Linked DNA regions of Coturnix japonica. The protein of the gene in region 4 interacts with the protein of the main gene of each other region in a pairwise test. Links are inferred from orthologs where the notes say so. Each region holds a gene or a part of one and is shown on either strand. Other genes may lie near its edges. The genes, in order: keratin, type I cytoskeletal 19; TCEANC; MEOX2; CARD9; TFIP11; PAK5; KIAA0408.

Region 1 (3,978 bases), on a different chromosome or scaffold from region 4:
GAGCTCGGTGGAAGCACCTGCAGGATGCAGAGCTCTGCCCTGCCCCGGCTGCTGCCACAGCTGCTCATTGTGTCCGTCCTTACAGCAGCGTCTGCTGCAGAGCCCTGGAGGTTTGCAGGGATGAAGGGGTGGTGGGGAAAGAAAGAGAAAGCAGAAGAGATGCAAGAGCCGCTCACTGCTGGGGATGCTGATGGAGGAGCCTGCAGGGATAAAAGCACCATTGCTTTTGAAAATTCACCTTGGAGAATTGGACTTAAACGCTGGAGAAACAACATTTTCATTACTCTCAGAGCCCAGAAAACAACGTGATTGGGTTTCTACTGTTTACTTCCCTCTTTGGTAGTAACAAAAGTACTGAAGGTATAATCAGGCCTTTGTTCCTGCTGCTGCTGACTCCGCAGGTGACACTCAGGGAAGTTTAATGTCTGTCTGCTACAAACGCAGCAACAGTTCCTAGAAAAAGATCCTTGTTCTATGCAAAAAGGGACTCCACACACAGCACATTCTGTCAGATCCTCCCTTGAACTGCTGGCCCAAAAGGAAATGAGATCAAAGAAACAAACAAGATCTGTAACGGAACAGAACAGTTCAGTGGGTTCATCAGCTCAAGGCCCCAGTCCAATCCCCAGAGCACATCAGGGCTAAGGAACCACCAACCCACATCACTGAGGGCACTGACCAAACGCCTCTCCAACACCACCAGGGGATCCATGGATCCCCCTGCCCGGGAAGGCTGCCCAGCAAAGAAACTGTTCCTTCTGAAGGAGGGATTTTTCCTGAGGGAAAGAAAGAAAACAACCGGTAGGACCGTGCTGTGCTAAGGTCCATGCAGCTGTTCACCATGTGGGCTCCTTCCAGGCTCCGTTATCAGCCCACAGTAAGCGATCTAATCACTCCGTGTTTTAAGTCCCCTGAGGCTGCAGAAGCAAGTTGCTGTGTGACTGCGCTGGGGATGCAGCACAGGCTGCAGTGGGGCTGTGGCCATTCCCCTCAGCAGAGCAACACCTCCCCTCAATCCCACCTTCCTCCTCAGCAGCCCAGGGGGAGGGAATCAGCTCCTTGCGTGAAGGTATTTGGGAATGAAACCCAGCTCACTTCTCAGCAACTGACCAATGGGAGGAATTCCTGTGTTGGCAGAGGACTTACGGCCGATAAATTCCACGGGTCTCAGATAACACATTCTGCAGACAACTCCCATTGTCACAGGCATAAAAGAGGTGGGGTGGGAGAAAGGAGCACACATTCCTGCTTCGGGACCACAAACCGCAGCTCACTTCAGGCCCTTGGCATTTCTCCCTATGGCGACTTACAGCTTCAGACAAACCACCTCCTCGGTGGCAGGGGGACCCGGCGGCCGCTCGCTCCGTTTGGGTGGTGGCTCCTTCAGGGCTCCGAGCATCCACGGGGGATCCGGTGGCAGGGGTGTGTCGGTCTCCTCCGCTAGGTTTGTCTCTTCTGGCCTAGGAAGCGGCCTGGGCGGTGGATATGGAGGTGCCTTCAGCAGCAGCTTTAGTGCAGGCTTCGGTGGTGGCTATGGGGGCGGTCTGGGCTCTGGTGATGGTCTCCTCTCAGGGAATGAAAAGACAACGATGCAAAACCTGAATGATCGCCTCGCGTCCTACCTGGACAAAGTGCGTGCACTGGAAGAAGCCAACTCAGATCTTGAAACTAAAATCCGTGAGTGGTACCTAAAACAAGGACCGGGCCCTGCCCGAGACTACAGCCCTTATTACAAGGTTATTGAAGACCTCCGAGACCAGGTAAGTGGTTGTATTTACTAAAAAGCACCCAGGAATGAAGCGTAATCCAAACAGAAAACCTCCCTAGGAAAGGAGCCGGAGGGCAGCGCAGTCTGTGAAAAGGAGGGAGATGAAATGAAAACTCACTCCTTGGTCAGGGCAGGGAAAGAAATGTGCAGCATGAATTCATCTATGATTTGAAGCGTTAAGTTTGGAAGTGGCAGGCAAAAAAGACGCGCTTCTTTGAAGGGATTGCTGCTAAGGAACATTTCCTTCACGGCTTTTCATGATTAATTATCAGAGTCAGTAAACACCAAATCGTTCATTTTAGGGAAAATAATGTGCTCAGAACTTTACCAATGCAGTCTGAACTGAGACTGCTGGCAACACACAAACATGCCATTTATTTTGCAATCATACAGTCCTTGCAGTCACTGCCCTGCTAAGAAAACACGCAGACAGAACCAGTTCTGCCCAGAACTGCACTTTGCGTCCTTTGCTTTTCTCCAGGAAGCACTGGTTGTGCCTCACACCTACAGCAGCTCCTACCCACTGGCCCAGCCAAGGCCTCTCCCTCTGCGAGAGGGGATTCCAGCTTTAAGCCCTTCATAGGACAGAAGTAAGGGGACCGACCCATAGCTGACAGCAGTGGCAGAAGTGCTGTGATCAGTCTGTGCTGTGTATTTGCTACAGATAACCTGATATTTTCCTACTGACACCAAACAAAATGCACTCATCTTTGGTAGAGCTATGGGTGAAATATAATCATAACTCCTCCACCTTTAGCATAAGAAAGAACAGAGTTGTTTCCACCTCAGCAATGAACTCTCACTGATTGCAGATCCTTGCTGCCACCATCGACAACTCCAAGGTTGTCCTGCAGATTGACAACGCCAGACTGGCTGCTGACGACTTCAAGACCAAGTGAGTAAATTCTGACATGGAGACAAAAATCCGTATTGAGGCAAAGGGCAGCGGCTGTGAAAAAGCAAAGGAACGCATGTAAAATCTCTGTATTAACACGACTTTGATCCTGTCATTGCAGCTCAGCCCTTTATGCACTGCTGAAAACATCATCTATACTAGAAAAAATGTTCCACCATGTAAAATACGAGTAGAAAAGTTTCATGTTGGACAACATTTGCTATATTATAGTTCCTATGGTGCCAGACACACCTCTAACAAATAACACATTTCACATTAGCCTGAAGAGTTCTGTTTTGCTTTTTGAAGGTTTGAAACTGAGCAAGCTCTTCGCATGGGCGTGGAGGCCGACATCAACGGGCTGCGCAGGGTGCTGGATGAGCTGACGCTGGCGAGGACCGACCTGGAGCTGCAGATTGAGAACCTGAAGGAGGAGCTGGCCTACCTGAAGAAGAACCACGAGGAGGTAAAGAAAAAGCACTGTGTGGAGTGCCCCAGGATTGCCATGGGCTCTGCCAGTTTCCCAGTGCAGTTGTTTAGAGCCTTGCAGAAAGGAAGGATGGTTCATAATAATCTCATCCACAACTGTGCCCTCTTTTGTCTTCGTCTGTTATGACAAAATAGGAAATGAGTGCCCTGGGAGGACAGGTAGCCGGGCAAGTCAGTGTGGAAGTGGACTCTGCTCCAGGCATTGACCTGTCCAAGATCCTGGCCGATATGAGAGACCAGTATGAACACATGGCGGAGAAGAACAGGAAGGACGCTGAGGCCTGGTTCCACAGTAAGGTATCAAAAGCTTCATTCTAAATAAATGCTAATTTTTAAATCAGAAAGGAAACCAAGTGACTCTGTAACTCACAGAACACCAAAGTGAAAGCCTTATGAGCTCCACTCAGTGGCCCTACGTGTCTCCTGTGGCGTTTTCCCTTTTTCAGACCGAAGAGCTGAACCGTGAGGTTGCCGTCAATACCGAACAACTGCAGAGCAGCAAGTCCGAAGTCATTGACCTGAGACGCACCCTCCAAGGGCTGGAAATAGAGCTGCAGTCCCAGCTCAGTATGGTATGTGAAAATTCGCACTGCATCAACGCAGACACCCTAAAATACATCTGTACTGCTCCTCCTGCAAGCAGCTCAGCATCCCTTCCCTCCCACTGTGCCCACAGAAAGGCGCGCTGGAGAGCAGCCTGGCAGACACTGAAGGGCGTTACGGAGCACAGCTGGCGCAGATTCAGGACATGATTGGCAGCATTGAGCTGCAGCTGGCGGAGCTCCGAGCTGATATGGAGTGCCAGAACAACGAATACAAGATGCTC
Region 2 (4,220 bases), on a different chromosome or scaffold from region 4:
AATACACAACATCTTCAGAACTGTTAGAAGAAAGATTTCTATTTCATTAAAAGGAAACACATTGTTCTGTGATTCTATTATTGCACTGTTCTCAGGAACTGCAAACTCTTTCATAAATGTACATCTAAGTTAATAAACAAAGTAATCATTGTGGCAATCTTGCAAGTTTCTTGTCTGATGGCACAGATTAACTGTTCACCAATTGTCTAACCAACATTTTCCCAAATATTTCTGTGGATATTTAACAATTTATCAGCTGGCAGAGTATCTTATCTTGTTTAATAGAAGTCTATTCTTTTTAGAGAAGTAGATACTTAGCACAGCCAACATTGAAATCTCAAGGAAAGCAAGCTGTTACTGTAGCACTGATTTTATCCTGGAAAACCCTGCAAAAACACAAAGATATGTATATATACCATTACACAAGTATATGAATATAACAAGTATATCATGTTTATCCCTTGGTTTACTTAGGAGTAACTGAAAAAGCATTATTGCAGAATCATAGAATTGTAGGGGCTAGAAGAGACCTCTAGAACTTTTCTAGTCCAACCCCCCTGCCAAAGCAGGCTCCATAGATCAGGCTGCACAGGTAAGAGTCCAGGTGGGTCTTGAACATCTCCAGAGGAGAATCCACAACCTGTCTGAGCAGCCTGGTTCAGTGCTCTGTCACCCTTACTGTGAAGTTCTTACACACATTTGTACGTAACTTCCTATGTTTCAGTTTGTGACCATTTCCCCTTGTCCTATCACCACACATTGCTGATAAGAGTCTGGCCTCATCCCTTTGCCTCCCGCACCTTAGGTATTTATAGACATTGATCAGATCCCCTCTCAGTCTATTCTCAAGGCTGAACAGACCCAGGTCACTCAGCCTTTCCTCATAAGAGAGATGCTCCAGCCCCTATATTTTCTGGAACAGTGATTAATTAGACCAAACATAGTTTAATGGAGAAGGCTGTGAGTAAGGAACCTCCCTCAAATAGTGGCATCCTTTGTTCTGATCTCTGTTCCTGGGAAGACTCCTCACACAGGGCTAATCATGCTCCTTGTGTCTTCCCTGCTAAAGGAAGACTGCGCCAGTTCTGAAAAGCCATGCTGTCTTCTTCCAGTTTTTCAGCTCCTCTTCTGTACAACTTCAGACTTGTCCCACACTTTGTTGCTGCACAAAAACAAGGCAAAAAAGGAAGCCTGACTTCAACTGCGTAACCAGTTGTGTATAATACACGGAACGAGGTTGACCACTGTAAAAGCATTACGTCACTCACGTATTTACCAAAAGGGCTGTTTCTGCCTGGGAATCGTCCTTGGTAAGAGGCAGGAGCCTTTCTTGTCAGTAGAGGGCAGCATAGGCCTCATCAGTGAATAAAACCAAGCTCATTTACGTAAAAATCATACGGATTTTCACCGTAATTGCGAATAAACCCTATCATACGCCCGTAAGTTTGCCAGAAATACACATCTTTCCCAGAATCACTGTGAATACTCTGCGTACAATGCATGCGAAAGAATAAAAGGCCGTGGCATTGCTCCCCCCGGGTCCCGCCGGCACCAGGCCGCGCTGCCCCCCCCCCCTACCCGGCCCGCTCGCAGACATGGCGGAGCGCAGCGCGGCCTGGGAGGTGGGGAGGGTTGCGCCGCATTGAGGCCCAGCGCGGAGGTAACGGGGTACGGGTCCGTATTGCTGCATATTCCCCAGCGACACAGCTTTCTCTTAACCGATATTGCTCGAGGGTGAGGCCGAGGGAGGCGGTGGGGCCTGGCGCAGTGTCCGAGCACCGCGGGATGGGTGCTGGGCGGGCCCGGTTGGGGGAAGAAGAGGCGTCAGTCAGTGTGTGACAGGTGACAGGAAGAGGGGAAATGGACTTGGATGCATTTTTACTCTGTCTTGGTTTATCAGTGGAAGTTTTCTGCACTAAGGAAAAGTGGACTATGGTTTTGAATCTGTGAAGGTGTATGGCTGGAGCAAGGCACTTACCCCAAATGATTTTGGAGAGGGCAGGTTTTTTTCCCCAAGGGTTAGCTTCTTAGTTTTAAAAATGAGACAGTGGAGATTTGGGTTAGATCTGAGGAGGAAGTTTTTCACACAGAGGGTGGTGATGCACTGGAACAGGTTTCCCAAGGCGGTTGTGGATGCCCCATCCCTGGAGGCATTCAAGGCCAGGCTGGATGTGGCTCTGGGCAGCCTGGTCTGGTGGTTGATGACCCTTCACATAGCAGGGGGGTTGAAACTACATGACCATTGTGGTCCTTTTCAACCCAGGCCATTCTATCATTCTATGATTAGTTAGCAGAAAATCTCTCACACTGGTTTGTTTGTTTGTTTTTCCCCCATGCAGTGATTTTCATTTTTAAAACCTTTGGATTCAGTACAATGTTTTGGGATGACTGTATTTCAAACCTGAGGTAGTCTGTTTTATTTATTTTTTTGTTTGTTTGTTTGTTTTCTCCTTAAAAGCAAACTGACTTACTAGATTTTTATTGATCACCATTGCTAATTCTTGTACATGCAGTGACTCATTATGCCATGTGGTCAAGTGTGAGAGATGGTAATGATTTGGCAAGAAAGTACCTCAGCAGCACAGTATTACAGAGCCTAATTGAAAATGCAAACCAGTTTCTATCTTCACTTAGAATTCAGATGGATGTTCCCATACTTTGCTGAAATTAAGCAGAATGGAAATGCCTTGTGTTACTTCTTGGAACAAGGAAGACAGCAGAAAACTGCTGACTGTTTGTTCAGCAGCATTTGCCAAATAGCATTAAATCAAGTGGGGTAGTGGTAAAATTCCAAATGTTTTAAATGTCGGATGAAAAAACAGTGTATGGCACAAAGACTGGATGAGGGATTAAAACCTTCCCTCCAGTCTGTGACCAGGCACCTTTGGGCCTACAGGGTGTTTTGTTGTTGTTGTTGTTGTTTGTTTGTTTGTTTTTTGAGGGTTTATTTTGCCAAATATTATGCAAATAGGTATCTTAAAAATGTAAAATTTCCTAAAGGCCATAGGGAAATCGTTTTATCCCCAAGGCTGGGCTTTCTCATTGTGCACTATTACACAAGGCTGCATGGGTTTGCTGTACTACAGCCCCCTCAAGTGGTAAAACATTTTCCCATTTAAAACTGCAGCCAACTCCACCACCTCACTGTTGTGCCATGCTCCAGAGAGGTGAGTAAGTTTCATTGTGTAAGCTTCATAACTAATAATGGATATTTGTAGACTACCAGCAGTTGTTTTAGACTTCTGTTTTCCTATTTGCTGAATAACTTGCTTCAATCAGTGCTTTTGCATATCTGACAGCAGAAAAAACAACAACCCCTTGGCGGCATGCAGGGTGTCTGACTGTTCCCTAGATTAGAACAAGCTTACAGAATTCCATCTACAAAACAACCAAAGAAAGTATTCATGTACCTGGGAGAAGAACATAGGCTGTAGATTTTTGGTTTTGCCATTATGCTGCAAAACATCAAAGCCCTGTTACACAGCAGAAACATCAGTGTTCAACGAATGTGTGAGTAAGAAAGAAAGAAAGGCTTACTCTGCTTAGGTTCAATGTGAACTTTGGCTAGAAAATACCCTCCAGTGTTGCCACTGCATCAGTAATTCTTTGTTTCTCCCTCTAAGAACATGGAAAACATGCAGTAGACTCAGAGTATTTACTTGTATCTGGATTCTAGAAATGTTCCTTGACATACTGACTTAATATGAAATGCTCTGCAGGATTCCCTGTGTTAAACACTCTGCCTCAACCTTTGAAGGAAGCCAGAAGTTTTAAAATGTACTGGGTTTGTGCTTGTTCTCAACATCAGCCTTGGTGATTAAAATCCAATTGCCACTTGTCTTACAGAGCAGCAGTGCAAAAACAGCATTTTTAGTTTCTCATCACACTGCCTTTTAATATGGAAGCTGAGATGAAATCTGTGATTGTCTAGGTAGTGGAATACTTTATGGTTATGGGTATGTATCACTTTTCAGCTTGAAGTATTTTAAGGTCTTTTGAAAACTGGGTACACACAGCAAAGCAGTGCCGTGCTGTGTGTACAATGCTTTCTCTTCAGAAACCCTTCTTCTCATTTGTCATTGATGAAGGCATACTTATTACTTTTACTTGGTTGTTTCCCTGCTGGTTGTTTCTTGTGTTTCTACTTGCAGATAATGAATATCCCACTCCGCTGAAGATGTTAATTACAGATTTCAATTCTGGTCTTGTCATGTGTTTTG
Region 3 (2,521 bases), on a different chromosome or scaffold from region 4:
TTGATTCAGATTTATAACTGCTTTGCTGTCTGCCTTTGTGGGTGTTTATTTGTGTGAAAAATGTGAATAAATGGAGTAGAATTAAGGACTTATCAACTAAGTTTATTTAAACATTTTTGTAATATAGGGAAGTCATAAGTTTTACTGTAAGAAATACTCTTTCAGTCACTTTGCTTCAGCAAATTGAAAGGAAAAAACTTTTACAGTGCTCCACTCAAAACCACTAGTTGACAAAAAACACTGAAATTTTTTCAGTGGAAGTTCCTCTCTGAAGTAGTTAGCTTCCTTTAAAATGTAATTAGAAAAGCATTATAAGTAGCACACCACACTGGGCTACCCAGGAGCTGGGTTCTTCTGTTCAGTCCCTTGTGGGTTCAGTTGTGTCTCTGTTTCTTTATATGTGGAATGGCATTAATGCATTTTTCAAGAGCATGTTGAATTTGCAGTTTTTTCTAAAGGGCTCTGAGGTCTTCCCATTGAGGGTATGACAGCAGTGATGCATATTGCAGCTGGGCCTGCAGCCTTCTTGCTGTAACTCTTTTCCATCCCATGCAGTCATTATCCTTACATCCCCAGGGCACTCATTCCATCCCAAATTTGATCTCTTGACAGTCAGGGAGCCCTTGCTGTACTTTTAACAAAAAAGACGGGGCTATAGTACAGCTAGGAAGATGGTTATCAACCTTCAGTGACACCATGTCTATTTTCTTTTTTTTCCTTTCTTCTTTTACAAAGGTAAAAGTTTGGTTCCAGAACAGACGGATGAAGTGGAAGCGGGTAAAAGGAGGCCAGCAAGGGGCAGCAGCCCGGGAAAAGGAACTGGTGAATGTGAAAAAAGGCACGCTACTCCCCTCTGAGCTCTCTGGCATTGGGGCAGCTGGTCTCCAGCACACGGGGGACTCACTAGCGAATGATGACAGCCACGACAGCGATCACAGCTCTGAGCACGCGCACTTATGATACACAGAGATTGTCCCAGATCCGTTCTCAGGAAAGATGCTTTGCTGGCAAGCCTTACACAGGCATCGTTTACGTATGCAAGTGACTCTGGCAGTGATTTTTAAAGTTGTTATGGAAGATTCAGGCTTATTGTGTCTGTTTTTCTCAATTTTTAGATGGTTTACAGTAAGTGCCATGTCTTAAAGGTGCCTCAAGATTGGAGAAGTGGAAGATGAACTTTGAACATTCCAGATTTGTTTGTCATGTTTATGACAGCGGGCAGGTATTTTTGCTTTAGCTTGCACTGAAAATTACATTGCTCTCAACAGACATTATATTCTGAAAACCACAGTGCCACAAAATCACTATCTAGTGGATAAGAAATGTATTTTAACTCTGTATATATTTACCTTACAGCATTTTCCTGTCTTCACTAATTTTAGCAATGCATTCATATTAGCTGATGGCAATAGTCACTCATGACAATAAATGGCTTTTTGTCTCTTTATTTTTGTTTTGTTTCGCCAAAGACATACAATACATGCAGATACTTTTGTTCAAGTAGAGAAAGTATCTGCTAGGACACGTCCTTGTATGACAGACAAAACAAATGTTATGTTGCATTTACTATCAACTGCTGCTAATAGGGTATTATTAAACTTACCTAGCTCCTCAATTCTTCTTATCTTATAACTGCAAAAAAAAAAAAAAAGATTTTTAGGATCATAAGGATAGTCCAGTAACCTGCCAGAAAATGTTCATATTCAGTGGAAACCCCAGAAAGGATTATTCATTTCTACTTTGTCATCACTGAGTACATTGATTAATACTGACTCTGTGGAAATGTTGCTTCATCTTCAGTTTAAAAAGCAGTAAGCTGGAAGTTATTATCAACTGCTTATGTTGGTAGGAATCAAAATATGAAGGTAACTCACTATTGTGTCCCATGTATAAAACCAAGACACATTTTCTGTTACAAGCTTTTGTGTACATACAGGCAAACACCAAAACTCAAAATTTAATGCAAACCATTGATTGTACTTTGTAAAGAAAAATGTTTAATAAATAATCCTTTTTAAATACTTCTGGTCTTTCTACAGTGATTTCATAGGAAACTTAAGAATATTGTTTTGTAAAAGTCCTAAGGAACTCTGACTTTTTTGGGTCTTTTGGAACTTCATCTGTGAACAACACAAAGCTACATTTTCAAATTTAGGCTTTTAATCTTGGATAAACTTTCCACCTTGATCCATTTGGGAAACTCTTTCCTTCAGCAGGAAAAAGGCATCTAGCAGCTAATGATGTCTTCAGCCAAAAACAACAAGAGTCTGTTCAACCATTTTTCCAGATCTAGAGTGATTATAAAGGGTTATTTTGTTGGATCTTGTTGAAATGAATAAAAATGAATAAAAATCAGGAAAGGGACGCATGCTTACATCACAGTGCCTTTATCTGATAGTGTTGTTCAAGAGAAAGATACTAAAATGCCTCCAAAAAACATAAGGGGTGAATTCAACTGGGTTCTGCAATAGAAGATGCAGAGTGAAAGAAAGTGCAAGTGGTAAATGTGCATGTCCTTGAG
Region 4 (2,684 bases):
CCTGTGTCCTGTGTTCCTGCATTTGTTCCTAGCTATTGTCTGAGAAAGAATATGGAGTACTTCTCATGATCTTAATTTGTTTGTGTCCCAATAGCTTACTCTTCATGCTCACCTAGATGAAGATACACACCTGACTGAAAGTAAGGTTTCTACTGGGGAAAACATACAGCATGGTTCTTGATGGGGTTTCCCAGTGTTCAGAGGGACAGGAACAGACACTTTTAGTGCAGAAGAGGAATCCACTGACTGAGGGTTTGGTCATTTGGGTGAAATAGGAGCAGGGTATGAGAGTTCGTGGAATTAAATGAGACATTTGAGCACTGCCTTCTGAATTGGGCCAGCCAAAATCACCTGGTACACAATGCCTTCAAAAAGCAGCTCCTGGATGCCTCTTCTTCACACAGTCCTCTCGTGTTTGTGGCTGAGCTGAGAATGGAACAAGCATCCTTCCACTCCAGCTCAACCACATGTCTTTCCCCAGAGACATTTCTTTCCTCTCTCTTATGTTGCAGGCTATTTTCACAAAAGCAGAACCATGTAATTAACACTGTCCCTGGTTCAGTTCTTGTGGCAGCCCCAGTGGAAATGATTCAGCAGCACAGAGAAGAGCAAACAGGGTCCTTTAAAGCTTGAGATTCTCCTTTGAAACATGTTCCAAAAGGAAGGAATCAAGCAGAGATCCTCACCTGAAAGAATTAAGCAATCATTCTCTGAGATGGGAGACTTTTCACAGCAGCTGCCACACTGAAACAAAGCCTTTTCTTACCCTACCTCAGCCAAATCAGAATGACATATCACAGTATCTGATCACTGCATTAGGAGTTGAGCTAAAATACGATCTGTTGAGTATCTGAATGTGCACATCTTCCCTGTGGCCCAACACCAACAAACTGTGATTCATGTTTAGTGGGATTTCTTCTTGTTATCTCCATCATTATTCTTTCAGTGACATTAGGCAGAGGTGCTGCTCTGCACTGGTTCATTTTGCTTCTCCACAAGCAGAAATTAGACAGATGGTGTCTGGTGATCCTATGGGGAATTCCATCCAGTCTAAACAAGACTCAGAGGTCACGCAGAATGAGCAGGGTCTTGTGCAATGGTCACAAGATTGAATACTGAATGTTTCAAGGCCTGGGTTTGGCTTGCTGTGGATGCTGTATACTGCTGGGCAGCTCTTACATGACAGCTATTGCCGTGTGATGAACTGGTGGAAGGAGAAGTTACTTCAACATGGCAGCTGTGACTGAGATTGTGATTTGCTTTTCTGTTTTCTCTCAGAAGAATGCTGCAAAGGCGAAAACCAGCAGTTCAGCAATGGAGAAAGCAATCTGCCTGCAGAGTTGCCCACTGTAAGAGCCCACAATGATTCTCTTTGGTCTGAATGGGGTTTGTAATTACTCATGTGCTTGTTAACAATGGATTTATCACAGAATGACCAGGGTTGGAAGGGACCTCAAGGATCACGTAGTTCCAACCCCCCTGCCTAGCAGGGCCACCAAACACACACATTTACTAGATTTAGCAGGCTTCAGGCCCAAGCAGATGCAATGCAGGCTCTACACACATCCCAGGGGCTGGGCTATGGTAGCAACCAGCTCTTCTTAATCATTTTAAGGCACAAGTTTCCATTTTCTCCTCTTAATTTCTTGGAAATAGATTCAGGGCTGCAAACAAACCCAAGATGGGCTCATCATGTAGAGCACCTCAGCCTTGAAGGGCTCCATCTTTACACAGCAGCCGTGTCTAGTGTGATAATAACATTGATCCAAGGCTTTAGAGCAACTTGCTTTGAGGTTTAGAGCAACTTTGCCTTGTTCCATTCCAGTTCGAGGAGTGCAGCTCTGCCCACGAGGAGCTGTCTGAGAAGGAGAGGAGGAGGATGAAGGATTGCTTTGAGCGTTACCGCAGGTCGGGCCCCATTTCCATCCCATTCCCATCCCATTTCCATCCTATTTCCACCCCGTTCCCGTCCCGTTCCCGTCCCTATCCCACACTCGGTTCCATAGGCCTCACTTCCATTCGGTCCCGTTACCAGGAAGCGCGCCCTCCGCAGAGCCCCCGCAGGCCGCCGCCATGAAGCCGACTGGGAGCCCAGCACCGGCAGCGACAACACGGACACGGAGGGCAGCTAGAGCTGGGCCGAACGTCCCGTTACCGGCCCCGTCAATAAACACTGAGCGCTCACAGCGGTGCCGTTACCGTCGGGATGGGGGAGGCGGCCTATGTGGGGCCGACCGCGCAGCCTCAGCGCCGCCTCTTGTGCGCCTGCGCGGCCGCCATGTTGAGGCGCTTGGTGCGGGTGGCAGCGCGGGCCGCGCTCGGCTCCTCAGCGCCTCCACAGCGGCGGCCATTGCCCCGCAGTGTGTGCACCGCACCGCCGGGCAGCGTGGGGCGGCTGCAGCCATCGCATTACCGCCTGGTGTACACCTGCAAGGTGCGGGGATGGGGAGGGGAGCGTCTCCGACGGTCGGTGTTGTGTTGCTAACCCGTGCCTTGCAGGTGTGCCGGCGCCGCTCGGCTCAGAACATCTCCCGCTTGGCCTACAGCCGAGGAGTCGTCATCGTTACGTGCCCAGGGTGTCACAACCATCATATAATCGCTGATAACCTGGGCTGGTTCTCCGACCTGCAGGGCAAGAGGTGCGTGTGTGTGTGGGGGGTGTGTCACATCATCGGCACATCGCC
Region 5 (4,205 bases), on a different chromosome or scaffold from region 4:
AGACAGTTTGTCAAATCTCTTCCTTTTCTGAGCTCTGGAAACAGGATTAATCCAGCAAAATCACAACCAGCCACTTGGGGGTGTTATTACCGGGTGTGGAGAGGGCAGGAGTGGGGTCGTGTATGTGTGTTGAGCCCCAGCAGAAGGGGGGATGTGCCCTGTGTGCATTTCACAAGGGGGTGGTGGTGTTTGCTGCCAGCTTGGGAGAACAGAACAGCTCTCCTTGATTTCTGCAGCAGCTGTTTGTGTGTCAAAGGCTCTGAGTACAAACAGGTGCTGTTGCCCATCACGCAGGGGTTGGAGCTCAGCATCCAACAATTGCTGTCTCACAGTGGTTTTCAAGTTGGCTGTTGGGACTTCCTGACTGCTCAGACTGTTTCTTCCCTTGCAGGCTGCTGCAAACGGCCCAGGGTGGCTCCGTAAAGAAGAGTTTGCAGTTGCACCGATGGAGATCTGTTATCCAAGCATATTGCTTGCTGATATTGCCAAAATGACTGCTGTGCCAGGAATGTATTTGCATTTATTTGCAAAGGCCAAACGTTGTACACTTCGATACCACTCGTCTCCCTTCGCTGGATGCTCCGTGGTGAAAGATCTGTGGAAATGAAGCACGACCGACCCTCCAAAGTGCATTGGAAAAGAGATTTCCTGTTATTTTCAGTGTCTCGTAATGCTGTTCCTTATACGTGCAGATCAGAATAGGTGTCATAACCGTGTATAGAGCATTTGTTGTACAGGTGACAATGCGGCGGACTGTCTCTTCCGTTCACTTGTCATTGACAGATTCTATTTAAGAATTAATATATGAGGTCAATCGTTTCACTCCTGGCTGCACTCATTCGAGTAAACTCTTGGAAAGGGCTGACAATAGCAGGACACGGGGAAATGGTTTTACCAGTTAAAAAGAGGGAAGATTTAGCGTTGCGATTGTTTGGGGGGAAGCTTCTTCACTAGGGAGAGTGGTTGAACCCTAGGAACAGGCTGCCCAGGGAGGGTTGTGGATGCCCCGTCCTTGGAGGTGTTCCAAGGCAGGTTGGAACGTGCCTGGGCTAACGCTGATCTATGGGGATCTATGGGGTCTCTATGCGGGATTCTATGGGTCTCTATGGGCGATCTTATGGGTGGTCGTATGGGTCTCCTGGGGCAACCTGACTAGTAAAGGTGTAATTTTTGGGTGGCCCTGCCAGGCCAGGGGGGCTTTGGAACTACATGATCCTCTGAGGGTCCCCTTCCAACCCGGGTCATTCTGTGATTCGTTTCTCATGACTAGAGAAGTGATTTAATGTCACAGAGCTGCCTCTCGGGATACCTCCCGAGGAGCTGCTCACTCGACAGGGGGCCTAGAGGGGCGCGTTCCTTCTAGCCAGCATCTCTATGGTTAGGGCATGGTTAAAGTGACGTATTTTTCCGTCGCCGGAAGTGATGAGGTTCGGTTCCGTCCCGCCGCCATAAAGAGCGGTAGGTTGGAGCGGGGCCGGGTCGTCGCTCGGATCCATCATGTCGATGTCACACTTATACGGCACGGACGGGGAGGATGGAGTGGAAATGGAGAACTTCGAAGTGTCGGATTGGGACCTTCAGAACGAATTCAACCCACACCGGCATCGCCACCGGCAGACCAAGGAGGAGGCCACCTATGGCGTGTGGGCCGAGCGGGATTCGGACGATGAGAGGCCCAGCTTCGGCGGCAAGCGGTGCGGGATGGACCGGGCCGGGCTATGGGGGATGGTCACATAGGCCCAAAGGGCGTCAGGGCAGCAGGGGGTTGGGTTGTGGGGTATAGTGGGGTAATAATAAAGTGTGTTATAGATATAGGTTAAGCTAATACATAATCAGATAGTCTCCTCTCTCCAGTTCTGATTACATATTCATTACGTTCCCTATGACTCCCCGTTCCCCGCAACCCATTCCTTCATTCCCCCTGACCCATTCCAACTGACCCGCCCCTTAATAGCAGGACACGGGGGAAATGGTTTTAAGTTGAAAGAGGAAGATTTTCAGGTTGGATGTTTAGGGGCGAAGTTCTTCACTAAGGAGAGTGGTAGCCTGGACAGGCTGCCCAGGAGGTTGTGGGATGCCCCGTCCTTGAGGTGTTCAGACGCAGGTTTGGACGGGGCCCTGGGCAACCTGATCTAGTAAAAGGTGTATGTTTGGTGGGCCCTGCCAGGCAGGGGGTTGGAACTCCCATGAACCTTGCAGGTCCCTCCAAACCCGGGTCATTCTGTGATTCTGTGACCCTTGGCCGTTGTTTTTGGGGTGAAATTCTTGCCTGTTTTTTTTTCTTACTTGGTGTTATCTGCTGGTATCGTTCTCCCATGTCAGCGATCATCCTTGCCCGGGGGTATCTAATCTTTACACTTCTTATCTTATTGCCGCCTCTTCTCTGGTTTTTCTTTTCGACTAAGTGTCTGTAATTCCCCTTTTCCCTGCCCTTTTAGAATGGTACACTATCTACAGTTTACCCTTTGTCTTGGTTTCTGTGAAAGTTCCCCTTTCTATTCTATGCAAGAGTGTTACCTTTACCATCCATTTTGGTGGCTCTTGCTCACTCTTACAATTCCCCCTTTTCTTTATACATAGCAGGCCTTTTACCTCTAGATTCTTAAGGGTCTCAAATTACATATATGACTCCGTTCTCTACCCTTATGTCTCACAAACGCTCGTATTGCCTTTGCTGTACAGCTTAAGTGAGGATAGGAATCCGTAGTAGTTATTACGTTTGTAAACAAGCACATAGAGCACTTTACTACTATACAGGTAAAACTTATTAACAGCACCAAGATGGCTATAAATTGGAGATTTACCGATCGAAAATGAGCTAGCTGTTATCAGATAACGCCTACAATTTCGTGGTTATACCAGCTCGAAGTGGAGTTAGTGGTTCCCACAAATCCTTTATCTTTCGCCTGAGAACCTAGTGTTATCAATATGCGCGACACAGGTAAAACACGTTGCTCAGCTCAATCTTCACCAAGGAGGAGGAATACCGATGTTATGTCTTCGAGAGGTCAATGGAAAGCATCGTTTGAAGAACTCGACAGGTCTTAGGTTTTGGTTCAGTCTCTACACTATACGGAGGAATGATAAACAGGTAACCGCTCCCTCGATAAGTGGCTGGAGATTGTGGTTGACCGAGTCCCCACCGCGGTGAAACTTCAATGAAGCCGGCGGAGAGCGCGGGCTTGAGCGAGTCTCGGTGTGTGGAAGGGAATCTACTGATGAAGATGAGAAGCCCCATTTAGTAGCCATGGAGGAAAAATCCCTAAAATGGGAAATAGTTGCCGAAGACAGTTGAAAAAACAGTGAGTGAGCGCAGAGGGAATACTGAGGCGAGTTGGTGCTTTGTTTCAGCCTGGAGAAGAGATAGGTTTGCGGGGTGACCTCATTGCAGCCTTTCACCAATATCTGAAGGGAACATTATTCTGCCCAGAAAGGGAGTAACAGCTCTTGGAAGGGCTGATCAATAGCAGGACTACGGGGAAATTAGGTCTTTAAGTTAAAAGAGGAAGTATTAGCAGTTGGGATGTTAGGGGGAAGTTCTTTAAGCTAGGTAAGAGTGGTTGAGGCCCTGGAAAAGGCTGCCCAGGGAGGTTGTGGATGCGCCCGTCTTTAGTAGTGTTTCCAAGGCAGGTGGTAAAGCGGGGTCCCACTGGGCATTACCTGATCTATGTAAGTTGTGTTATTGTTTTGGTGGCCCTGCTATGGCAGGTGGGGGTGATTCCTTGAGGTCTGCCGACGGTCCTCACTCTGGAGTCATTCTTGTAGTGAATTTCTGTTGTAGATAGTGGATACTATGATCTGTTTGTCGTGAGCTCTAAGAGGATAATTTCTGAGGTTCTTGCGGTATAAACAGAGCTATTCTGAAAGAAATGTGCCTTCATTTGTCGCCAGATGTGGGCAAGTTTAGTGTGGATTAGTATAGTATACTTCCCTTTTACAGAATTAGGGTTATGGTGCTGAATAGGCTCCAAGGTGTTAGGTTCCTGATATTGCCGCAAGGCTTGGTTGTGTTTAAGAGCCGTTTGGATGTGGTGCCTCAGGATATGATTAGGTCAGTAAAGGGTTTTTAGAGTTAGGGCATCTGGTTAGGCTGCGGTTGGACTTGATGATCTTCAAGGTCTTTTCCAACCTGGGTAATTCTATGATTCTAAAGGGAGAACCAATTAACACTGATGTAGCACGTGGGTTATGGCATGAATTTGAGG
Region 6 (3,500 bases), on a different chromosome or scaffold from region 4:
CCCTGAAATATCTCTTATAAAACCACACGCTGGGGCAAATGCCAGTGCCTGCAGGGTGCCCTCACTTGCAGGTAGGAGCACATCCTGCCTGGGCCAAACAGAGCCCTTCTGTGCGTTCTGAAGATGCATCATCTCCCATCCCAGGCCTCGGCTGCACAGCTTGTTTCCACTCCTTTGTACACATGTGCGTGTATCTCACATATATCTAGCATATATGTATATAAATGTACATGTATACATGTATATACACACATATACACATATATAGCAGTGTTGCTCTATCAAGCAGAAGCTGACCAGGCCAAAGAAAATACAGCTGTGTCCTGGGCTGGGGACTCAGATGCTGTCTGTGCTGAGACTGGAGTAAGGAGAACTCCCAGGGTGGCAGTGCAGAAGTGCTGAGCCGGGTCCCACCAACCTGCCCTTCCTGTTCTCAGCTGAAAGACTCTGACAAAAACATATGGACTGCCTTTTTTTCAGGGGGCCTGCAGTTCTTTAAACAGTTCTTGCAATGTAGTTAGTTTTTTCTCATTCAACTCAGAGAACTGATTGCAATGAGAATACTACAGAGTATGGCAACTGACCCCACCCAACTGGCTCTTACATTTGGGATCCTAAGGGCCCGTGGCTTTGCCTTTGCTAGTACTCCCCTAGAGGCTGGGAAATCCCAGCTTTAACTGGCTGGAAGCTCAGTGGGTCTCTGCCTGCATGGCTGTGAAAGTACCGATGTGACTTGGCCTTGTGGTGCAGCTGTGCACACTGGCTACTGGTCTGGTACATGGATGTGTATGTGGCTCTATCTGCAGCTCCAGACTAATTGAGAGATCAACAACAGGCCTTCCGCAGTGTGCAAACAATGCTATTTTTCTTTCACAGAGTACCCTAAGCTAAACTATGTAAAGGAATTACACTCTAAACAGAGTTATTTGACTACACCTCACAAAGGAAGACGTTAAAAAAGCACACAGTGCCACACTCTAGGGCAAACACAAGTGCTGCTGCTCAGCACAGCTGTGTACAGCATCTCAGCTGTTGTCTTTTCCCCGGGCCCAGTGGGTTTGACTGCAGCACTGTGTGCCACTCTGGGTGCCTCACAGCTCGTACCTCGGTGCCGTAGGGCATCCGTGATATCACCTCTGGTGCCATCCAGTACGGTGTCCCAACCAGAGACTTCCTCCGTGGCACCTCCTTGGACACCTGGGCACAGAATCCAAAGTCGGACAATTTGATCTAAAAAGCAAAGACAAAGAGAAAGCCCCTCCTGAGTAACCACATACACACTGATCCAACCAGATACGCTTCCCTCTGGGAGAAGCCCTTGTCTCCTGCTGTAGGAGCTGGGATGGGGCAGCAACACGGTTCTGGAAGTGAGGTTGGAGATGGAGGATGAGCATGGAAAGAGCATGGCTGATTTCACCAAACAGAAGGCAGGAAAGTGGCAGTGCCTGTCAGCAGTGCCTGCTACTCACATCACCTCTCAGAGCTCCTTGTCACCCCTCCAGCAAAAGTGCAGAGGTGATCACTGGCCTGTAACTCAGCAGGAAAGCTGAAATCCCGATCTTACAGTATTTATAATTAATCTGTTATTGCAAATACATTAACTCAAAGTTTGCAGTGTATGTATGTTTAATAACATTCAGTGCAGTATCTATCGTAAGTAATACGTATCACTCTTAATATTTTATCAGCTTGAGATCTGAGTTTGCCAGAGAGCAGACAATCCCATGTTTCTCTTTCCACACAGAGCACCATCTGGCACTCCTAGAAAGCAATACCCCCAACCAACAATTTTTCAAGTGTGCTGTAGTCTGCCCCTCAAAAACCATCATCCGTATGTAGTGTATGTAGAAAGGGGCTTGAGGGAGGCAGGGACAGGTGGAAGACTCCTCCAAAATGGCTGCAAGAGATGAGGGACCTGCATCCAGTGCTGGGAACTTGGGAACTGAGGAAAGCATTGTCCTTGAGTAGCTGTGGCGGTGACCTGAAATAGAAATAATGGGATACACGAGCACTCTGGAGAGCAGCTCCTGCTGCATCATGTGCCTGCTTATACTCAGATGCAGGTGTTCTTTTTTTTTTTAAACCAACAAAAATGCTGGAAAATTATGACCTTACTCCTCCCCCACTGCTGTACAACACCAAGGTGAAAATCCCTCCAAATGGGGCCAAAATCAGCTGGCATGACTTTTGTGGCATCACTGCCTTCCAGAAACCGCTTGCTCCTCAAGGCAGCTGAAGCGTTAGCTTTTCCAAGTACTCTTCTGGAGGCCTAAAATCTATCCCTGGGCTTTTCTTGGAAGCTGCTCCACATGAGGGCAGCCCCTGGCACCGCAAGCTACGCTCCACACAGTGCAATGGCAGCCAGCACCCAGAGCCCACGAGCCATGCAGCCAGTCCATGAGCCATGCAGCCAGCTGCATGCTGGGGATGTGCTGCGAGCCCAGCTGGCCCCAGCACAAGTCAAGTGGGAAGTTCCATCAATTGCTGCATCGTGTAGAGCAGCAGTTGTTTATAATCAGCATCAGTTTGTTTTCTTTCAGATTCAGTACAGACCCCACTTTTTCCCCCCCAGTATAGGTATTAATTTTAACAGAATCACAAGCTGATTGTTGGTATTTCTAACACAAAGCCAGCAGCGTCAAGTCCTCCACACTAACCACATTTTCCAGTTTACAGGATGAAGAATGGAAGAAGAAGGGAGTTTTGGAAGCAGAGCCCGGTGTTCTTTTGCAGGAGCACAAGGGGTTTGGCAGATCTATTGCTCGTTCGAGTACATAAAAGAAGACGGTTTTCTAAAAAAAGATAATTACACAACACAGCCATGAAGAAATCTGCAATGCAGATAGATAGTAAGTACCCAAGTAATGAGTATAATGAGGCACTGCACGCAGGGCCTGAAAGCAGTTCAGATGCCATTATTTCAGCGACATGGATCAAAACTGCAACTGAAAAACTCCTACACATGTGGAACTTTCTCCTCCGATAAGATGAACAAGACTGGGCTGTGATGGCTGCAGGAAGAAAATCCCTGTCTCAGTGATGTGGGAATCAAATGTAAAGGTGAGAGAACTGGATCAGGCCTGAGAAGCTTCAAGTTTCATCCCCAGCACTGGAAGATTTGGGTGCTGTTGGTCTCATTCTGACCCACTCACTACGTCCTGCTTTGGGCACATGTGTAACCCCACTGTAGCAACCCTGAAACCCTGCCTACGGGAATCCCTCAGCATGACTGAACTAGTTTTTACTTCAGTTATTTCATGTGGACACAAGATGAGGCTCAAACTAGTGCAGAAATTAGGCTTTTACATGTAGCAGTTATTTGCTCCCCTCCACCCGTGCCTTTGGGCACCCTGAGTTTTAGGCACTTCACATTGCATTCTGTCTCCCTCTCTCCCCACATGTGAACACCAGAAAGAACAACATGGTGATAGCAGTGGCCCATACAAATGCAGGAAAGCAAAGGATGGGTGCTATCAACCACCTTACAAGCATATCTATGG
Region 7 (3,500 bases), on a different chromosome or scaffold from region 4:
TGACATCCATTTACTCACATCTCCAGGCTTGTCCTATCAGTTCAAGCATAGGCTCACAAGCGTAGAAGAGTATGGCATAACTAATTAATTTATATTTGGCTGAACTGTATTTGCAAAAGTTTAGAAGTACTGCCTCTGCCAACATTCTTTCTTAATGAAAATAGAAACAGATGTTTGTTTGTTTTTTAAGTATACTGTAAGCTACAGATTTTGTAAAAGGCCTCAGAGAAGGAAAAATCTGTTTTCCTGAAGAGCTCCTTGCCCTAAGGACACAAATGAGTGTGTCCTTCACTGTCTCAGAAATGAGAAGGCAAGTGTTTAGAGCTGAGGAACTTAGATGGATTCAGATTGTCATCTGGTGTGCCTTACACTGTCACACATTCACAGACTTCAGTGGAGGTATGTGGATTTAAACAGCTGAGAATCTGAGCATGTAGATTTTCTTCTGCATGATTTTATGTCAGCCTTGCAGTGATGCAACCTCTTGCTTAGCAGAAACATCTTCGTTACAGCACAGAGGAAAACACATGAAGCCTTTGATTTCTTTCTCATCCAGTGTAAGTTTGATAAGAAAATGGAATTTCATCAATAAATATGTAAGGAGGAAATAATGAGGAGAGAATGACTGAATTTGCATTGATGCAAGCCCAGAATAACTTTACTAAGACAGCTGGATTATTTTCTCCATAGATTCACATTCTGTGTTGTTATTTATGTTGTATAAATTAAGTGCAGAATACTGCCTGGTTAGGGGGTTTCATTCAGCAGCTTTCATGTCACAAAGATGTGAAAAACTACACCTGGCATGAAACATGGAGGTTTATCTTCATTATTTCAGATTTATAGTACTGTAGCTAAGATCAAGGTCTGTTGTTTTTCCTGTACATATAAGGCTCAGCATGCAGGCACGGCACCGCATTAATAAATAATCATTCTGAATTATTTACCAACTGTAAACAGCTTTGTGCTGTGCTAACAGAAAGAGAGCTCTTAGCAAAATGTGTCTTCTGAAATGGAAGCTATCAAAAATTACCTAGAAAGTACATAGATCATACTCTAAGGTGCTGAGAGCTCATTCACAAGACTTCCAAAAATGAAGGGAAATGAAAAATGAGTGTTCAGTTTTAACTTGCATTAACATTTTGTCCCTTTCCTTGTGTCTGACACTTGTCTCTGCATATTTTAAACTGCAACTGAAGTGAGAATCCCTATACATAGAAATGCCTGTTCTTTTGCATTCTGCACATTACTTTGTTCCTTTTAATAGCATCAGACCACCTGCTCTGTGGCCACCCTGAATGTCTTCCTAGATTCCCAGTGCATTCTCTGAAGGACTTTTCTCCTGTAACTCATTAAATCAAGGATGATTGCTTTTGTGTTCTAGATATCTGTGCCAGCTAAATGTTCAAATGGGAAGGGTTTCTCACGGCCAGCCCGACCAGCAAATAGACGCCTGCCTTCCAGATGGGCATCCAGATCACCATCAGCACCTCCAGCTGTGAGAAGGACAGCATACAACTGCTCTGTTTCCTTTCGGTCAGAGACCTCAGTAGTTTGAACCCAGAAACGGGTCGGATGGTGTTGTGAAAGCTCTGCACCTCATTTTAACTCTGTTCAGTATGTGTGGTAGCAACCAGATCTACACCGTCCTATCTTGTTCAAGAACGACTCCATCACATGCTGGACGAAATGGTTTGAATCTTAGGTCATCATCATGGTCTTCAGTGTTTTTATTGAGAGGAAACAATGATACCCCTGGTTTTCTCCTTTTCTTTCTTTCTTTTGTTTTTTGGTACTAGCTCACAGAGAATTTATTTTGAGTGGCATCTGTCTTAATTTGCCAATCAATTTTGAGTTGAAACAATGTATAGTGCTGTATATTCTGACTCTTCTGCAAACAGCAGAACATAAAGCTGTATGCATGATCATGTGTTTGTAGGTGCATGTGTTGGACTAGGAAGTATACAGGTCTGTATTTAGAAGAGACAAACTGTGCTAGCGTTGACATTGAAATTACAACAATATGCCAACATATATATATATATTTACTTTGTGTTTATTTTAAAAATTTTGAAATATACAGTCCTGATGACATTTATATTTTGTATATCTTTTACATAGGTTCACAGGTGTAGTATTTAATGTACAAAATCTAAATATGCATTTTTGTGACTCTAATTGCAGCGATTATGCCTTGCACAATATGTATCTGAAGCAGACTAGCTCGACTGATTTGTCAGTCATGCTTCATGGCATCCTTGTTCAGTTTCCTAATCCTTATAATACTAGGTCAAAATACCTAAACATATTTTTTCTGAATTAAAATATTATATGATTTGTAGTACATTAGCCTTTTTCAACACCAGAAACATTCCTGAAATGTTCTGATCTCTTTAAAAGTCTTTAAGCGTGCCATTATATATATAGCATACTGTAAACAGTTCAGCACTTCCAACCAGTGTAACATACAATTTATGAAGGGAAAAAAAGGGTTGAATGTGCTCAATTCTGTAAAACTTATTTTTCCTTCTAGCATTATATTTTGAGGTTTGGCAAAGTCAGAGAACAATGGACTTGTTTACTTTCACTCAAGGCAGGAGAACAAGGACTGTTGATCCCAGTGCTACAGACGCATGCCTTTTTTACTCTCCTCCTAGACTAGAGTGCCTGAGCCGCTTGCTAGCAGCATGCTGCTCCTTGACTGACTTCTGACAGTCAGTAATGAAGTTTACTTGCATTCTAGCAACACCTGCATCTAGTATGGAAGTACTGTATAGAGATCTCATCACAGTAGTGCCAGAAATCCTCGACAAGTGGTATCGGAAGTGTTATTGCCATCGCCTGACTCAGTATTTTGGGCCATCACAATGATGTATACAGAGCCTGGCTTGTTCCTCCCCACAGTGTGAAAGAAGTACGGATACTGACCAGACTCTTGCTGAAAAGATGAAGTCCTACATCCTGGAATTTTCTGCACCCTCTCCTAGGCTGTTGCTGGATGCGCAGGGTAGTAATGATGATAAATGGTACCTTTAAACAGCATGTCTAGGTTAAAAGGAGTAAAGAGGCCCTTCTTCAACATTAGCCTAATCTTGTCTTGCAAGTTTTTTTCTTCTTCTGGAGAAACAGTGTGTTCAAAGGAGTTTCAAAAATCATCCCAAGCTCCATTAACATGTGCGTCTTCATATGTGAATGTAAAAAGGAATTCAGAGAGAGTGTAGGCTTTTGTCCTAGTGAATTGTATGTTTGGCAATATATGGAAAATTAGTTGTGCTTAATTTGTTAGTGATATGTTGTCTTATCCCAGTCATGCTGAGAACCCTCACCTTTTTTCTTCTTTTTAGGGCCTATTCTTCTTTACGCAACTACTTTTTTGCAGAGTAAAAACGCAGCCAGCCATATGTTCCGAGCAATGTACCCACTATTGTAGGATCAATAACTCTTCAGGCATGCCAGTGTTGGATTGAGCAGGCAGTAGTGTCATACATCCAAAATTACAT

Evidence for each region.
Region 1: the proteins of CARD9 (region 4) and keratin, type I cytoskeletal 19 interact in binary tests that used the Homo sapiens proteins (3 or more experiments, as listed by UniProt). The two-hybrid records come from large-scale screens. The link is inferred for Coturnix japonica from reciprocal best matches to the Homo sapiens genes CARD9 and KRT19.
Region 2: the proteins of CARD9 (region 4) and TCEANC interact in binary tests that used the Homo sapiens proteins (3 or more experiments, as listed by UniProt). The two-hybrid records come from large-scale screens. The link is inferred for Coturnix japonica from reciprocal best matches to the Homo sapiens genes CARD9 and TCEANC.
Region 3: the proteins of CARD9 (region 4) and MEOX2 interact in binary tests that used the Homo sapiens proteins (3 or more experiments, as listed by UniProt). The two-hybrid records come from large-scale screens. The link is inferred for Coturnix japonica from reciprocal best matches to the Homo sapiens genes CARD9 and MEOX2.
Region 5: the proteins of CARD9 (region 4) and TFIP11 interact in binary tests that used the Homo sapiens proteins (3 or more experiments, as listed by UniProt). The two-hybrid records come from large-scale screens. The link is inferred for Coturnix japonica from reciprocal best matches to the Homo sapiens genes CARD9 and TFIP11.
Region 6: the proteins of CARD9 (region 4) and PAK5 interact in binary tests that used the Homo sapiens proteins (3 or more experiments, as listed by UniProt). The two-hybrid records come from large-scale screens. The link is inferred for Coturnix japonica from reciprocal best matches to the Homo sapiens genes CARD9 and PAK5.
Region 7: the proteins of CARD9 (region 4) and KIAA0408 interact in a two-hybrid assay, tested with the Homo sapiens proteins (2 studies listed by BioGRID and IntAct). The two-hybrid records come from large-scale screens. The link is inferred for Coturnix japonica from reciprocal best matches to the Homo sapiens genes CARD9 and KIAA0408.

What each region holds. Positions count from the first base shown.
Region 1 is NC_029542.1:4,201,966-4,205,943, reverse strand, and holds the start of keratin, type I cytoskeletal 19, read left to right. Parts: upstream 1-1,178; 5' UTR 1,179-1,298; coding exon 1,299-1,760; intron 1,761-2,580; coding exon 2,581-2,663; intron 2,664-2,972; coding exon 2,973-3,129; intron 3,130-3,287; coding exon 3,288-3,449; intron 3,450-3,598; coding exon 3,599-3,724; intron 3,725-3,828; coding exon 3,829-3,978. UniProt on the Homo sapiens protein: Involved in the organization of myofibers. Together with KRT8, helps to link the contractile apparatus to dystrophin at the costameres of striated muscle.
Region 2 is NC_029516.1:110,838,941-110,843,160, reverse strand, and holds the start of TCEANC (transcription elongation factor A N-terminal and central domain-containing protein), read left to right. Parts: upstream 1-1,420; 5' UTR 1,421-1,439; exon of another isoform or gene 1,440-1,534; intron 1,535-1,551; exon of another isoform or gene 1,552-1,674; intron 1,675-2,194; exon of another isoform or gene 2,195-3,167; intron 3,168-4,220.
Region 3 is NC_029517.1:25,705,454-25,707,974, reverse strand, and holds the end of MEOX2 (homeobox protein MOX-2), read left to right. Parts: intron 1-735; coding exon 736-960; 3' UTR 961-2,021; downstream 2,022-2,521. UniProt on the Homo sapiens protein: Mesodermal transcription factor that plays a key role in somitogenesis and somitogenesis and limb muscle differentiation. Required during limb development for normal appendicular muscle formation and for the normal regulation of myogenic genes.
Region 4 is NC_029532.1:6,407,915-6,410,598, forward strand, and holds the end of CARD9 (caspase recruitment domain-containing protein 9), read left to right. Parts: exon of another isoform or gene 1-94; coding exon 95-140; exon of another isoform or gene 141-1,278; coding exon 1,279-1,349; exon of another isoform or gene 1,350-1,825; coding exon 1,826-1,908; intron 1,909-2,013; exon of another isoform or gene 2,014-2,035; coding exon 2,036-2,132; 3' UTR 2,133-2,184; downstream 2,185-2,684. Other genes in the region: DNLZ (DNL-type zinc finger protein), read left to right, coding at 2,207-2,434, 2,500-2,639. UniProt on the Homo sapiens protein: Adapter protein that plays a key role in innate immune response against fungi by forming signaling complexes downstream of C-type lectin receptors.
Region 5 is NC_029530.1:6,267,218-6,271,422, reverse strand, and holds the start of TFIP11 (tuftelin-interacting protein 11), read left to right. Parts: upstream 1-1,405; 5' UTR 1,406-1,497; coding exon 1,498-1,694; intron 1,695-2,438; coding exon 2,439-2,442; intron 2,443-4,205. UniProt on the Homo sapiens protein: Involved in pre-mRNA splicing, specifically in spliceosome disassembly during late-stage splicing events. Intron turnover seems to proceed through reactions in two lariat-intron associated complexes termed Intron Large (IL) and Intron Small (IS).
Region 6 is NC_029518.1:12,086,702-12,090,201, reverse strand, and holds part of PAK5 (serine/threonine-protein kinase PAK 5), read right to left. Parts: intron 1,231-3,500; coding exon 1,105-1,230; intron 1-1,104.
Region 7 is NC_029518.1:53,664,825-53,668,324, forward strand, and holds part of KIAA0408 (uncharacterized protein KIAA0408 homolog), read left to right. Parts: intron 1-1,384; coding exon 1,385-1,558; 3' UTR 1,559-3,500.